Linked DNA regions of Saccharomyces cerevisiae S288C. Changing the gene in region 2 together with the main gene of any one other region gives a genetic interaction. Each region holds a gene or a part of one and is shown on either strand. Other genes may lie near its edges.

What was found. A genetic interaction does not mean that the proteins touch.
Region 1: mutations in CMG1 (region 2) and HSP33 together harm fitness more than expected from each alone (negative genetic interaction), as found in Saccharomyces cerevisiae (one large-scale study listed by BioGRID).
Region 3: mutations in CMG1 (region 2) and YCL049C together harm fitness more than expected from each alone (negative genetic interaction), as found in Saccharomyces cerevisiae (one large-scale study listed by BioGRID).

The regions. Positions count from the first base shown.
Region 1 is NC_001147.6:1,077,693-1,082,486, reverse strand, and holds HSP33 (glutathione-independent methylglyoxalase family protein), read left to right. Parts: upstream 1-3,228; coding exon 3,229-3,942; downstream 3,943-4,794. Other genes in the region: phosphopyruvate hydratase ERR1, read right to left, coding at 898-2,211; FEX1 (fluoride transporter), read right to left, coding at 4,576-4,794.
Region 2 is NC_001144.5:680,805-687,109, reverse strand, and holds CMG1 (Cmg1p), read right to left. Parts: upstream 4,374-6,305; coding exon 3,549-4,373; downstream 1-3,548. Other genes in the region: condensin subunit YCS4, read left to right, coding at 1-3,438; DCS1 (5'-(N(7)-methyl 5'-triphosphoguanosine)-(mRNA) diphosphatase), read right to left, coding at 4,872-5,924; SNAP receptor SEC22, read right to left, coding at 6,266-6,305.
Region 3 is NC_001135.5:38,934-44,090, reverse strand, and holds YCL049C (uncharacterized protein), read left to right. Parts: upstream 1-3,366; coding exon 3,367-4,305; downstream 4,306-5,157. Other genes in the region: POF1 (nicotinamide-nucleotide adenylyltransferase), read left to right, coding at 1-430; SPS22 (Sps22p), read right to left, coding at 535-1,926; YCL048W-A (uncharacterized protein), read right to left, coding at 2,364-2,603.

The sequences.
Region 1 (4,794 bases), on a different chromosome or scaffold from region 2:
CTTTTCCGTGCCTGTGATACTTCCTTTTTTGGTATAGCAGAATGTCTGAATTTAGTTGCTATAGATCCTCGTTCAGAAGCGTATTGCTAAGCCTATCTCCAGTATACCCTAAACGATCGCCGAGAAAAAATAATACTGTACCCTCCTATTTCCCGGAATTGTACAGAATAGTAGGTATGTGCTGGGAGTCGTATATTGTTAGAGTCTGTAATTTTTACGCGCGCCTAGTGGATTCGTTGATACGATTACGTTATTCTAAACCGTCGCAAAGCAAATTGTGTTGAAGTAATTCAAGACTTTAAATCACTTGTACCAAAATCATTGTTGCGAAAACTTATCCTCAGTATTAGTTTCTTGACCGTAACAGTAGTTGAAAAAAATAAAATCATTTCTATGATCGATACACTTTCATTATTTAACTTCTCTATTATGGTGTAACTTCTTACTTTTGTCAGAAAAAAAGATTTCAAGACACAACAAGAATGGGGTCAAAGGTCTGCTTGTACTATCAGGAAGATTTGATACCAACCGCGTTATAAGGGTTACTAGAAAGTAATAGCTGCTAAAAAATTTAAACCGAAGAGATTAATCAGAAAGCTGAAAAACTGCAGTGTTAGTAGAGTTGTAAGCATTTCTTGATTGGAACAGCCTTCCCCCACACGTCCACCCTTGTTCAGACAGATTCGTAATGATTTTGTGTGTAGGCAATGGAAAACTTTAAAAACGGTTTGATTTCCTACAAGATAAAACATATGAATAAAATAACTTGTGTCAAATGCCCCATTTCCATACTGTAACCCAAATCAACGAAATAAAAAATAAAACCTCATATGATTTACTTTATTTAGTCATAAAAAAACAAAAAAAAAAAAAAAAAAAAGGAAACAAGACAATCCTTTATAGTTTGTTTCCATCATGAAACCTATGACCAGCATATATACAATCGTCCCCCAGTTCCTCTTCGATACGCAAAAGTTCATTATACTTGGCCAGTCTTTCTGATCTCGACAAAGCGCCCGATTTAATTTGACCACATCTTAAACCAACGACCAAATCAGCGATAAACGGATCTTCGGTTTCACCTGATCTATGCGATATCATTACACCCCATCCAGCATCGAAAGCCTGATTGGCGGCTTCAATAGACTCAGTCAGAGTACCGATCTGGTTGAGTTTCAGCAACAGAGTATTCGCACATTTCTCCTCTATAGCACGGGCGATCCTGGTCTTGTTGGTGCATGTCAGGTCATCTGCAATAATCTGAACATTGACAGTCTTTAGGAAGGCAGACCACGAGGACCAATCATCTTCGGCGTAGGGATCTTCCAGGGAAATGATTGGGTATTTCTTTAGCAATGAATGGTAATATTCTGCTAACTGGGCTGGACTGAGCCAGTGAGATGGGTCAGAGTTCGGTTCCTTGAAATTTAGGTCGTATTTCCCGTCCTTATAAAAAACAGAAGGAGCACTATCGATTCCTACTTTCACTCTACCCTCGTAACCGCATATGTTAATGGCTTCCACAATCATGTCCAAGGCGTCTTCGGCAGTGTCAATATCGGGGGCAACTCCACCCTCGTCACCAACATTTCCAGCGGAAGGTCCATATTGCTCCTTCGCCAATATCTTCAAATGATGGTAAACTTCCGAACCCATCCTCATGGCTTCTGCAAAGCTCTGAGCCCCGACTGGCGCGATCTTGAATTCTTGCATAGCTAAAGAGCCACCGGCGTGGGCTCCACCATTCAAAACATTGAAAAAAGGAACAGGAATAACAAAGGGGTCCTGTCTAGCATCCGCTAACTCGGCTATATACTTGTAGAGAGTAATTCCCTTTTGTGCGGCAGCAGCTCGAGCAACGCACAAGGAAACACCAAGGATAGCATTGGCGCCCAACCTTGACTTGTTAGAAGTTCCGTCTAACGATATCATGAGCTCGTCTATGCCCTTCTGATTGGTTACACATAATTCGGACTTGATTAAAGCAGGCCCTATGATACTATTGACGTTACTGACTGCCTTGGTCACCCCTTTTCCCATCCATTCGGACTTGTTCCCGTCTCTAAGTTCAACAGCTTCGTGAATGCCGGTGGAGGCACCAGATGGGACGATCGCTCTGAAGAGACCATTCTCTGTTGTAATTTCAACCTCAACAGTCGGATTGCCGCGAGAATCATACACCGTTCTAGCATGTACCTTCGTGATGGACATATTTTTATCGTTGAGATTCGATTTTTTCCTCACCTTGTTTTGGTATTTCTATTGCAAGACAAAGTGAAAGAAGAAGAAGTGGTGGTAAAAAATAACTATATATAATGAAAATTGTAACCTGGTGGGAGTGCAAACTGTAAGTGATAACCTGCCAGATCCATGTTTCTATTATATACCTAAGAACCAGCCAAGTTAGGTAAACGAGGAGTCTTTCAATATCTCTTTTCTAGTGAGAATGTTATTTAGGTAAATGAACAAGTTACCACTATACTACTCACCCCCTACACTTTGTTTGTGACCTCTCCCCTTATCCAGTTCATCGAAACTTTTTTTTCAACTTGTGGCGATCTGTGACATTGTCTACTACAAGAACCGATTTTGGTTGATGTCTGTAAAAAAAACAACCTTACCTTTCCAGATCCAACTTTCCAGGAGAGCTGCGTGAGTTTCAAATATTTACCATGTCGGAGAAAGCTCCCAAGTACTTCCTTGTTCTTGTCATTTTTTCCTTATCTCCATCCTTTAAGGAAGGTATTTCCATTATGCGATTCTATAAATCCGAGCATGCGAGTATTTCTTTTCTTGGCGCGGAGTCGCTGATGACGCAATAGGCACATTCACGAACATCCAGGACTGGTAATCTTCTCGTCTTAAAGAAAATCCAACCACCAGTAAGAAACTCTTGGGTAAAATGGGGTATCTGAAATATTGCATAGCTGCAAATGAAGATATTCAGTATCAGCATAGGTATTTTTATGGAGGATAGGTAAAGAGAAAGAAAAAAAAAAATATCTTTCTGACTGTCGTTCTTGCAATTATCACAATTAGGGGACTTTAAAACCGATACTTGATATATGAGCACAGTCAAGGGGTCGGTTCTTGAGATTTTAATGGAAAACAGGAAAGTTGCACATACAGGTCTGCTTTTCTTTGCTTGCTCCAGACAACGATACTTAGAACTAAAACATATTTCTAGAACACTTTTCTCCTTCATTCAAAAAGAAAACTGGCCTTGCAATGACTCCAAAAAGAGCGCTAATATCTCTTACTTCATACCACGGTCCCTTCTACAAAGATGGTGCGAAAACAGGCGTTTTTGTAGTTGAGATTTTGCGATCGTTCGATACATTCGAAAAGCATGGTTTCGAAGTGGACTTCGTTTCTGAGACTGGTGGATTTGGCTGGGATGAACATTACTTGCCAAAGAGCTTTATTGGTGGCGAAGATAAGATGAACTTTGAAACGAAAAATTCCGCCTTCAATAAGGCGTTAGCGAGGATCAAGACCGCAAATGAAGTCAACGCCAGCGACTATAAAGTATTCTTTGCATCTGCTGGACATGGTGCTCTATTTGACTATCCCAAAGCTAAAAATCTGCAAGATATTGCATCCAAGATATATGCCAATGGGGGTGTGATCGCTGCCATCTGTCATGGACCGCTCCTTTTCGATGGATTAATAGATATCAAAACAACAAGACCATTAATCGAAGGCAAAGCTATAACAGGTTTCCCACTCGAGGGTGAAATCGCCCTGGGAGTTGACGACATCTTGAGGAGCAGAAAATTGACAACGGTTGAACGCGTTGCAAACAAGAATGGAGCCAAGTACTTGGCGCCAATCCATCCCTGGGATGACTACTCTATTACAGATGGAAAGCTAGTTACGGGTGTTAACGCAAATTCTTCCTATTCGACCACAATTAGAGCTATAAACGCATTATATAGCTGAAACAAAAGACAAGGGAATTGTTGAAGGGGAGGCTTTTAATGACTTTCAGTTTCTGTGAAGAGAAGGCTAACAGCTCAATGGTTCGAAAGGTAAAGAAAACGGCAGGTCGGTAGCACTCGATTTTGCTAGAATGGAAATCATATAGAGAACAATTGAATAGTAGGCCTTGGTTTTTAGTGTTGTATTCATCATGGTCATATGTGACATAGGTAATGTACATATATATATAAAAAAAAAAAAAAGCAATGCTGTGAGATCATTCGTTACTTACGAAATACGCAGATTGCAATTTGAAATAAGCTGTGTTTTCTTTTTTTTCCTTTTTTTTTCTTTTTTTTGGCTTGTTATATACAACTTTTTTCTATTTCTGTTCTTTTTATGAGTAATTAATTGGTACATGGGAAATAAATATGAATTATATTAAATGAAGTAAAAGTAAAAGAAAACGGGGAAATTTATCGTTTTGTAGTAAATAGATGATGGAACGCATTCATAAAATCTCACAAAATATTACAATAAACCGCAGTAGTGGGTAAAAATGTATTATACAACGTCTAAAATCTTGAAAATGAATTAAAAAAAAAAAAAAAAAAAGTGGGATGATTATGCAGGGAAAAGTATAAAGAAAAGATCCTAACAAATCGGGTTGGTCAATCCTCTAGTCCAAGCATAGGATCCGAGAGTTATCACCAATAAGCAATATGAAATTGCAATCGAAACAGTATAATAAATAAGCATGTTAATAAATGATAGCTTATACCCTTCATTGATAAACGTGCTAATGGTACTCAAAGTGCCGCAAAATCCGGATATTAACGCAGAAACAATATGACATGAATTCAACGAGTTCAC
Region 2 (6,305 bases):
AATGTTATCATAGACCAATTGGCCGTTTCACCCGAACAAATAGATGCTAGTCCAGATTCACTAGAAGCATTAATAGATCTTTGCCATGACTTCCCGCACTTAACACCGAAATTACAAACTCAACTAAGCTATTTGATAAGTTCATCTCTGTCGAATCTGTCAAAAGATATTAAGGCTAATCTCTCATCAAATGTTAACTTTACTGAAATTGGTGGCCTGATACCGCAGTGGAAAAGGCATTTAGAAGAGTATGGCTACCTTATTCAGGTACTTTTGACGTTTTTACAAGATGAGTTACATAAGGTCTCCTCGCAGTCTACCAATCTAAACCGTTCTGCCAAAAACAGTAAGAATGATAGTGCAAACGTCGAGCTGTTTAAAAGAGACTGTAATCAAATGGAAAACTTGCTTGAATCTATAACAAAGCTACTGGAGATTAACTTATCTAAGATATTTCAGACAACTCCTGAAAAGGATTTGTTTATTGGTTTGTTCACAAGACCATTATTTGTGTTATTAGAGATTGAACCTGTGACGAAGGTATCATCACTAAAGATGTTTATTCAAAGGATTTTGGCTATGTGTGTTAAAAATCACGGTCAAAGTTCAAGTATACAAAGTTCATTGATGACAAATTTAACTTATTTTCTTCATTTGTCGGTTTTTAATGCAGAATTACTAAAACTATTGAATGATGAATATAACTATCCACAACTAACAGAAGATATCTTGAAAGAAATCAGCACCAGGGTATTTAACGCAAAGGATACCACAGGCCCAAAGGCAATATCAAATTTTTTGATTAAATTATCAGAGCTATCACCAGGAATAATGCTTCGACAGATGAATCTTGTCATCACCTTACTCAACAATAGTTCTATAACATTGAGATGTTCCGTTGTAGAAGCATGTGGAAATATTGTGGCTGAATTGGCTCAAGACCCACAAACTATGGAACATTATAAACAACAAATAGCCGTACTTATTGAGTTACTAGAAGAAAGATTCCAGGATTCAAATCCCTACGTTAGAACGAAGGCGATACAAGGGTGTTCAAAGATCTGCGATTTGAGTTCGAAATTTAACAAAAGCAAAGCTAAATTTACTTCGTTGGCAGTACGATCATTGCAGGACCGCTCCTCTTTAGTTCGTAGGAACTCAGTAAAGTTACTTTCAAAATTATTGCTAAAACATCCTTTTAAGGCCATACATGGTAGCCAATTGAGGCTGAGTGAATGGGAAGAATATCTCAAAGGATCTGAATCACAGCTAAATTCCACTTTAAAGAAAGTAGAGTCACAAGAAACTCTGAATGACACGATTGAAAGGTCTTTGATTGAAGAAGAGGTAGAACAAGATGAAGGTCAATGTAGGACCGAGTTAGAAGGTTCTTTCAATAAGAGCGCAGAACTTTCTAGAATAGAAAATGAGGTAGAGAATATAAATGCAACAAATACCAGTGTTCTCATGAAGCTAAAGTTAATGATTGTTTACTATAAAGATGCCATTAGTTTCATTAAAGAGATACACAAGAGTATTGAATTGATATCTAATTTGCTGTTTTCTAAGAACAGAAACGAAGTTTTAGAATCAATGGACTTCCTAGTTTTAGCAGACGCTTTTGACATTGAGTTAAGCGAATTTGGTATAAAAAAAATGCTGCATTTGGTTTGGATGAAGGGCACAAACGATGAAGGAACGAGTATATCAGTACATTTGATAGAATGTTATAAGCAGCTATTTTTAACCGCGCCAGATAGTTGCAATATGCAGGAGAAGGCGGCACATATTGCCAAAAATTTAATTAATCTAAGCATCGGCGCATCTATTGCAGACTTGGCCTCTTTGGAACAGCTATTAGGAATGATGTATGAACAAAAATTGATTGATCAACATGTCATTAATATCCTTTGGGCTATTTACAATTCTGCATCGAAGGCCAGTATGCAGAAAGAACAAAATGTGAACAACCGTGACTCCGAAAAAGGGTTTTCTAAGGAACAAATTCATGGTTCTATTATTATTTTAGGAATGTTATCGTTAGCCGATAACGAAATAGCATTAAAAGGACTGGAGTCACTTTTAAACATTGGACTTGGTGCCGTTGGTTTAAAAGATCTGACCCTTTGTCGGTATTCTTGTTTAGCGTTAGAGAGAATGGTTCCCAAGAGAAGCACTATTATTACCAAGGCAATAAATCAAGAGCTTGAAGATGTTGCAGTGAAAAAGTTGTATGCCATAATTATCAACTATACCAAGGATAATGAATATTATCCTATGTGCGAACAAGCGCTTAGTGCACTGTTTACAATCTCTTCTAAGCCCGATATACTAGCTACAGATCTGATTAGAGAAAAGACAATGATGACATTTGGTAAACCTGAAGAGGAAGACTCTATTTTGTCGTTAGAACAATCATCTAGAGTTGTTTCTCTCAGTCAATTATTATTCATTGTAGGACAAGTGGCAATTAAAACACTTGTCTATCTAGAGAAATGTGAGGCAGAATTCAAGAAAAGAAAGATCGAGGCAGAAACTCGGAACGGTAAAGTAAAAAACCAAGGTGCAGATGTAACTAACACCACACAAGATAACGGTGGTGATAAAGAGCTAGAAATGATAGGAGGTACTAATGAGGACGATTTCACGGATGCTATTCAATTTGTAAAAGAGAATGAATTACTATTTGGAGAAAAATCTATATTAGGGAAGTTTTGCCCAATTGTAGAAGAGATTGTTTCTAATTCAAGCAGGTTTAGCGATCCAATGCTTCAAAGAACGGCAACCTTATGTCTAGAAAAACTAATGTGTTTATCATCAAAATATTGTGAAAAGAGCCTGCCGCTATTAATCACAGTAATGGAAAAATCTCCTGATCCTACTATTCGCTCAAATGCTGTCTTAGGACTAGGTGACATGGCAGTATGCTTCAACAACTTAGTAGACGAAAACACAGATTATTTGTATCGCCGTTTGCATGATGAAAACTTAATGGTACAAAGAACATGTTTAATGACAGTTACCTTCTTGATTTTAGCTGGACAGGTTAAGGTTAAAGGACAATTAGGAGAAATGGCCAAATGCCTAGACAATCCAGACCAGGGAATAAGTGATATGTGCAGATTATTTTTCACCGAGTTAGCATCCAAGGACAACGCCATTTATAATGGATTCATCGATATCTTTAGTAATTTATCGTCAGATGATTTATTGGGTAAGGAGAGTTTCAAGAAAATCATCAAATTTCTGTTAACTTTTATCGATAAGGAACGGCACCAAAAGCAATTAAACGAGAAATTAGTTGGAAGACTGAGAAAGTGCGAGACCCAAAAGCAATGGGATGATATTGCATTCGTACTAAACAATCTACCATACAAAAATGAAGACGTCACTGCATTATTGGAGCAAGGTTTCAAGGTTGTATCCGCAAAAGAATAATCGAACTGACGTTTACCCGTTTCTTCCGTTTTATATTATATGTTATTATATAAATAAAAGCTGTTCATTTCTTTCTTCTTGAAATATGACTTTACCTATCTCGATAAAATTCATTTGTGGTCGTCTTCATTCACTCCTGGGCAATGCTCGTAGAGATCACCTTCATCCTTATACTTGATTCCGCAAAAAAAACAGTAGTACTTCTCGGACCTCAGGAATATATTCAATTTTGTTATTCTTTTTTCAATGCTCAATTCTTCTAATTCAGCAAGTTCTGTGTCTTTTGTAATGCGACTACCGATAATTGAAGTATCACAATCTATTAATGTAGAAGGACGTCCAAACTTTTCACCTTTTATTGCAGGCGAAGCCTCCAAACTTTCATTTACCATTGGTATCATATTATTCTTATCTTCATTATCATTGTTACTGTGATTATTTAGGTCATTTTTTGCTACTTCCTCATTTAGTTGCATAACGTAAGATCTCCAAAGTACGTTAAAGTCTCTCGGATCTTCGCCTGGATTGTATAAATCGGAATCACCCATCATTTCAAAAGCAACTTTTTGGATCCTATACCAAATTTTTTTTAACCGCTTATTATTTTTCATTTCACTTTCTCTTTTTATAAATCGTTGTTCACTCATCTGCATGTCATTCATTGTTGATGGGTCGGGCTTTTCTGCACGAATTCCCCTCCTTTTTGTATTGATTTCTACCTTAATAGGCTCTTTTAGGGCACTTTCATTACTACCTAATGTTTCTCCTTCTTTGTAACCCATGTTTTCCATCATTTTATAACCCCTGGGCATGATTGAACGTAGTGATGTGCGTGCAGTTTCGTCATTTGTTGAATCTCTTTTTGACTTCTTCTGAGGCGGTGTATTCTTCAAATCTATGCGATCCTCTTTTCTTTTTGTCTTACTCTCCTCCATTTTATGCCCTCCCTGAAAGTGATGGTAGATGTGTAGCGTACCTCTTATTGTCCGTCCTCTTATTCTGTAATTCTTAAATTAAATTCAATCCAGTAAATATTACAATTGAATTGATACCTAATTTTTTCTATTGACTATATTTCAGAGTCAACGTGATCGTTCTAACTTTCATTATCGATTATAGATATTATTCTCAGCAGTGGAAATCTTTTTATCTCAACTCGTCACCACACAAAAAAATGGAGACAGGATCCGGAAGACTCAGGAGGATAGAGCAACGTTATTGAACAGTGTTTTTAATTGTTTCATTCTTAGTCTTTAATTTATTTACTTTAAACCGACGGTTATATAGTACGTATTCTATTATTTTTTAATCACAAAATCTCAAATAGGCATGCCTTATGTTGTTGTGAAACTAAGGTATATAAAACAAACAACTTTCAAAAAAAGAAAATGAGAGTAGGAAAAAGGTGGATGATGTGAGAATTTTAACAACCTTTATTTAAAACCGTTCACAATCTTGGGTATTTTTGGGATACCATCTCTTTCCAATTGTTTAGTGAGTTCTTCTTCCAGACCCCTTTTCCACAAATCATGATTTTCACCAATAGCGTAGGTGATTGTCTTGTTCATGTAGCCTTCTGGTCCTAGATAATTTAACATTTCAATGATGTCTTCCAACAAGATGGCCTTGCCCGCGGCAATACTATTACCTAAACCGGGATGCTTTATGTTAACGATGTGAATGTGGAAATGATAATAAGAAGGTTGGTAGTGAACCAAAATTCTCAACTCATCCGGATGGACAGCATAGTTGTAACAACCAGGAACAATGGATCTAATCTTGTTGTTCAAGTTGATTAACCACTGTCTGTCAGAATATCTTAAATCCCTTATTGTCTTGATATCGGTCCTGTAGACGATCGCAACTAGATATAAAGAGTCTAAGTTCATGCCATCCCATTTCATATCAGGTAAAATTAGGAAGCCGTCGTCCTTATTCTCCTCAGAAAAATCTTTATAAACGACCCTTTCTGACTCAGCGCCTTCATAAAGAATGTTGTTTACCCATTTAAGTCTACCGTTATTACACATTTCTTCGATGTAAGGCTGAACAATTCTCTTGTACATCTCAGGAGTCTCTCTGACTAAATGAAAGTTTTGTTGTTCATATTTCTTGATATGAATTGGAGTAGCAGGCCAAATTAAATTCAACTTGGCGGTAGGGTTCGACTCCATATCCTGCTTTATCACTGACAAACCCCAGTAGTAAATATCATTGGAAGTAATCTCCTTTAATTCCTGAATTCCGTTGATGCAAGAATATTCGTTTTCACAATTATATAAAACTGGAGTGGAGCGGCCATCTTGAGAGGGTCTTCTCACGGTTTCGTCAAATAGAAAGTGCGTCTTTTCAGCCGTGATAATAGCATCCTTGTTGTCAATGGTTCCCAATAAGGACATAACTTTGGTTTGAGGGTTGGAATCGAGGACACTAACAAATTGGAATCTCTTGATCAATGAAGCAAAATCTGTTGGCAGTTGAGACATGGTATATGCTAATTTTGTCGTTTCGCTTTCTTTTTTTTTCCAGGAATTATAACTTAATACTATGTGATTATTTAGTTAATACACAGACAGTTAATAGAGTAGTGATGGCAATTCGATCATCCAAAAGAGTTGGAAAGCCTCTTTTCCTTCGATATATAGTGATGATATCCTTGAAAAGACTCCCTAAAAAGTGCAGGTGCGGCGGGTCACCTGCCAGCTTGCCTGAAAAATACGTAATTATGTCAAATAAATTGCCATACTATACTAATACTGAACTAGACTATGTTATACACTTGGACCAAATTGATCGGGATTTGTGATGTGGGATGATGGGGTGACGTCTATTTGAGGAAGATCCACCAGAAGAGAAAGACGAAAAAG
Region 3 (5,157 bases), on a different chromosome or scaffold from region 2:
CAAGGACAAAATATTACATGAGCAATTTGTTAAAGGATGCAGTGCAGATATAGGCTACTTAGTTGGTTTTGATACAATTGCTAGGATCTTTGATGAAAAATATTATCATCCTTTAAAAATCAGTGATGTAATGGAGAGCTTCATGTCGGGATCTCAATTATATTGCTTGGCGAGAGGCGATTGCCATCTCAGTGCTGAATCGCAACTAAGATACGCCAGTGACATCCTTGAGGGAAAATTCGAACCGGTAATACCAAGAGAATGGGGCGCTAGGATTCATGTTATGCAAAATGATTATCCAGCATTAAGAAATGTTTCATCATCCGAGATTAGGAACAAACTGAAGAATGGGCAAGTGGAGAGTTTGAAAGACGAGTTGCCATTGTGCATATACGATTATTTGATCAATAATAAGACAATATTTGATTGAAAGAGAAAGATAGAAATTCAAATGCCTTTCATGGAGATATATGTATATAGATAAAGATAATATTAGGAACAAAAAAAACTTTCTGTTATACTAGACTAGTAATCTTAAAACAATAACATAGCAACAAGGCATGTACCAAAAAGAAGGGGGTCCAATTGCATGCTTGGATTTGCTGAGTTCGCGTATTTTGAAATCACTCTTTTCTTGGAGTCTTCACCTTCTTGCGTTAAATCTTTGTACCCTTTTTCTATGATTGTACCATCCTGTTTAACATTCAGCGTATTTTCCTTCTTACCAGAAATACAAGTGAATTTCCCACCCCTGATGATTGATCTTCCATTTGATGGGTTTGTCCATTTATTGCAATCCAACACGTTTGATGAACTCTTAATAAAAGCGCTACCTTTCACCAGTTTCAAGCTATCGAACATGATATCTTTGAACGAACCTTCAAAGAAAATAGCACCTCCAATCTGCTTCAAGTTTGGCAGGAAAGTAATATCCTCGAGGGATTCGTTATCGGCGATCATCAAGCCACCTTGAATGTCTGTTAAGTTCTCCAAATTAACTTTTATTAAATTTACATTGTTGATAATTCCTAATGTTCCACCAATCTTCTGCAAATTGTTCAGGTTCAATTCGTAAAAGTAATTTTCGATGAACTCTAAAGAGCTTTTCACTTTTGTTAATTGTGGAAGGTAGACCAATGATGTGTCCCTAATCGTTATGTTTTCCACTTCTCTCAAGTGTGGCATTTCAAGTTCTAGCTCCTTAGCGTTCGCATGTACACTGAATTGTCCCCTAATGGTTTTAACGTTCGAATGAATAGTTTCTAAAAATCTGTTATTATTGATATTGAAAGTATCAATTTCCTGAACCTTGTTGAAATTCTCGATGTTTGCTAATGAAGTATCCGATATGACAATATCCTTTATAATCTCAATATTCTGAGAATCCATGGAGACGTAGTTCAAGATGGGAACAACTTTCCACTCCAGTGACTGACAAAATTTCAAAGTTGGAATTTCAACAGAAACCAAAGAGGTTAGTCCCTGTAATTGGAAGAGCCCTTCGATTTTATTCAAGTTCCCGGCTTGGATTCTGATCAGTTCAGGTGAATCCTGAATAATCAGGTCACCACCAATGGCCCTCAAGCTGTTCAAATCCAAAATGTTAGAATCATAGTTTGTGACTTTTAATGACCCCAAGATGAATTCACATTGGTTTTGTAAATGAAAAAGATCATGAGACGATTCAATGACGTGCAAATCTTTTTTACACAACTCTGATATCGGTGAGTTTGTGTTCAGACTCTTGACATCTATTTCAAAAAACGGTTCATTTGCTCTTCTTTGAAGTTCGAGATTACCGTTATGAAAAGGCTTCACATTATGTGGTCGCCTTGGCGGATCAATAGCGGCACCCAATGCATGTGTCACAAATAATGATGCAAATATAATCGCGAATAAACAACTTTTCCTAGTAATACGGTTCATAAGTCGATCAAGTAATGAAAAAATGGCTTTTGGTTTTCCTTGTTGTATTTCAGATGAGATATCTTACCAACAGAACAAGTTTCTCTATTGTATGTCACAAAAGGATATAGCTTCTCCAAAATCTTTCTTTTTTATATTTTTTTTTTTTTTTTTTTTTTTGAATTAGTGACGCATCTTCTGTACAGTAAAGAGAGAAAAAAAGGGTATAATAAAACAGTTAAGCTATACTATAGTAGCGCATACACACAACGTATATACATCTAGTATTAAATATTAGTAATTATTAAATAACGAAAAAATAAATTATGGTTGAAATAGAATCAAACGTAAAGAACAAAGAAAAAGCTTAATGGAACGAAAGTTAAAAAGCTCCCCAATTTTGAACAACGGTTATGGAATTAGAAAGAAAGAAAAAAATAAAGGAAATAAAAATGTTCCTAGAATAAGAAGGCAACACCGGCAGCGATTGCTGCTCCAAAGGCACCCGCCGCCATGGTATTAACTACGGCTTCGCCAATCGAAACTGTCGTAGTCACCGAAGCGGTAGGAAGAGTAGTATTTGGCTGCGTAGCATTTGGCTGCGTAGCATTTGGAGTAGTGGCGTTAGGTTCAATGCCAACTTGGGCGTTGATAGCAGTGACTGTAGCTAGAACAGCGACAATGTTTTTGATTTGCATTATTTAACGGAAGTATAAGGTTTGAAAAGGGAGCTTTAATTGTTTTAGCCGTTATCGATTTAGCGGTGAGAATGAAATAAAGAAAAGAGGAAGAAAAGACATTACATACAAATTTTTTTCAACTTAAATGGAGGTTATGTACTTTCTTATATAGATGCTAATCTTTTTTTTTCATCTCATCACAGATTTACGTCGTCAATCTACTAACTTCCCTTATCTTCCCTAAAGGGTATCTTACGTTTCCCCTTAGGGAAAATGAGTTTTGTCCCACCTTCCCTTTGGGAAAAGGCAATGTAAATCTTAGAGGCAAGAACCACACTTGTTGATAAGATCAGCTGCGTAACAGTGCGCTAGGCAAAGGGATGGAATAAGATAAATCCCTTGTTATCCCTTTGCTTTTAGTCTTATGTTGGGGAAGTCCACAAGTTATTGTTACATAAAGGAGGAGAAGAAAACTAGGGGAATATTTATAACACTCGCATTAGCTGATCGTAGGAAAGCAACACAAAACATATGCATCAGCTGGCCCTGTTTGTCTTGCTCATCGATTGATTTTGCAAGCAAAGCTGGGATACCCGAATGTGTATGGTTTTCCTTTTTTTGGTATTTTTCTCCTATAAACGAGCTTTTTTTCGTCTTGCATTCAGATTTAAATAGCTGCTTCTAAATATATACTTTACGCAAGAGGGTCCGGTCCCAATAGGAACCAAGCTATTGCAATTCCAGGGTTCAAGAGAGAAAAATCTGTAATCACTTCGAACCAATGTTTAGTAAATACCTCGTAACTGCATCTTCCCTCTTTGTGGCTTTGACCTCTGCAGCATCTACCGTTGATCTAGATGCTCTGCTTCTTCTACCAGGGGTCGAGTCCCACGACGGCGTTGATACTGTATTTTCGACCAAAGACTTTTATCAAGTGTCATTCGTCAAATCCATTGCTCCTGCTATCGTAAACAGCTCCGTAATCTTCCACGATGTTTCTCGTGGTGTGGCTATGGGCAATGTCAAGAGCAGAGCAAGTATCTTCAACCCAGAGGAAACGTATTACGATTGGGAACAGTACCAAGTAGTAAATAACGGAGACTGGCGAACCGAATGGGCACCTGCCTCTGACTGCATTTGGAGGGAGGAGAAGGATAACAGCGACGAAACACCGGACAGATTCCCCATCTCGGTGCCATATAATTGGACGTCACAGTACTCAATTGTAGATTATGACACAGACGCTAACGAAGACAATTTAGATTTCAGGTTTATTAAATCATTGCTAGATAAGAAAAATTGGTTGAAAAAAATTAACCAGACTGTTTCCCAATCCAGTATTATGGTAGCACCAATGATTAGGCCATACAATGTGGTCCAGCTTTGGTATTCAAAAGATATGGTTTGGGCAAACGTCCAAAGACAATATTGTAGCGGTGTTTATCCAGGAGGGACTCAATGTAGCGCTTGGTCCAGGTACTACCATGTTGATGCACCCACCTGCGATGAGCCTGTCGCCTCTTACATGACCAAAATGTTGGAAAATGAGGTTCAGTGTCCCAATGAGAGAAACGCAACTACCCTAGAGCCTCTCCGCCTGAATAAGCAGGGAGACTCTGATTTTTCTTTGACTTTCGAGGAAGAGGAAGAGGAAGAGACAGGATCTAAATCTCTTTGGAGTACATTGAAAAAAATTTTCTCTAAAAGAAGTATAAGTTGATCTTAGTTGGTAGCACTTTGATGAGGTCTCTAGCAAAAAGTCTACAAACAAATTCTTGAAAGTGTTTGATTGTATATCGATATATCAGAAACATACATATGATTTTTATCTTGTGAATATTCATCAAACTCCGTTTTTAGCCCCCGTGTAAGTTACTTTAATGAGTATTTGATCCTTTTTTTTATTGTGTTGGTTTTTATATGTTTTGTTATGTATTGTTTATTTTCCCTTTAATTTTAGGATATGAAAACAAGAATTTATCAAAGAAAAAAATCTTAGCTTTAAGAACTACAAAGTAAATAAAAAATAATAAATCACACCGGACAGTACATGAAACTGGACATATTTGAGGAATTTCTTTTGAAGAGTTGAGCATTCAAACTGGCCGGTCTTGCTGTGGCCTCAATCCACTTGAGCTCCAAAGAAGGCTCTGAAATGCTTATTTTTTTCAAGCGATACAAAGTAAACAGTTACATACCTGAATGATACTACCACAACTATTTACATTATCGTCCTGTCAAAAGGCGAATAATCAGAACTGTTTGTTAACATGTCATTTTATAAGAGCGGCCTGAAATACTGTCATAAGTGGTCTGTCGAAAGTAGTTATTACGGCGTCGGGCGTCGCGAATAGCTCAAAAGTCACCCCAGCTTACACGATATTCCCATAACCTACAGCAAGAAGCTATTCTTGGATACAAGCACCAGTTACAAGCACTGCATTCATATATTGCCTTTTACTTTCCTATTCTGTATTTGTGTGCTAAGTGTCCTGTTTCGGAACGTTCTAGAAGATTTTCTTATTTTTCTCTTTTTCAGTTTTTTTTTCATCACGCAAAGGAAATACAATAC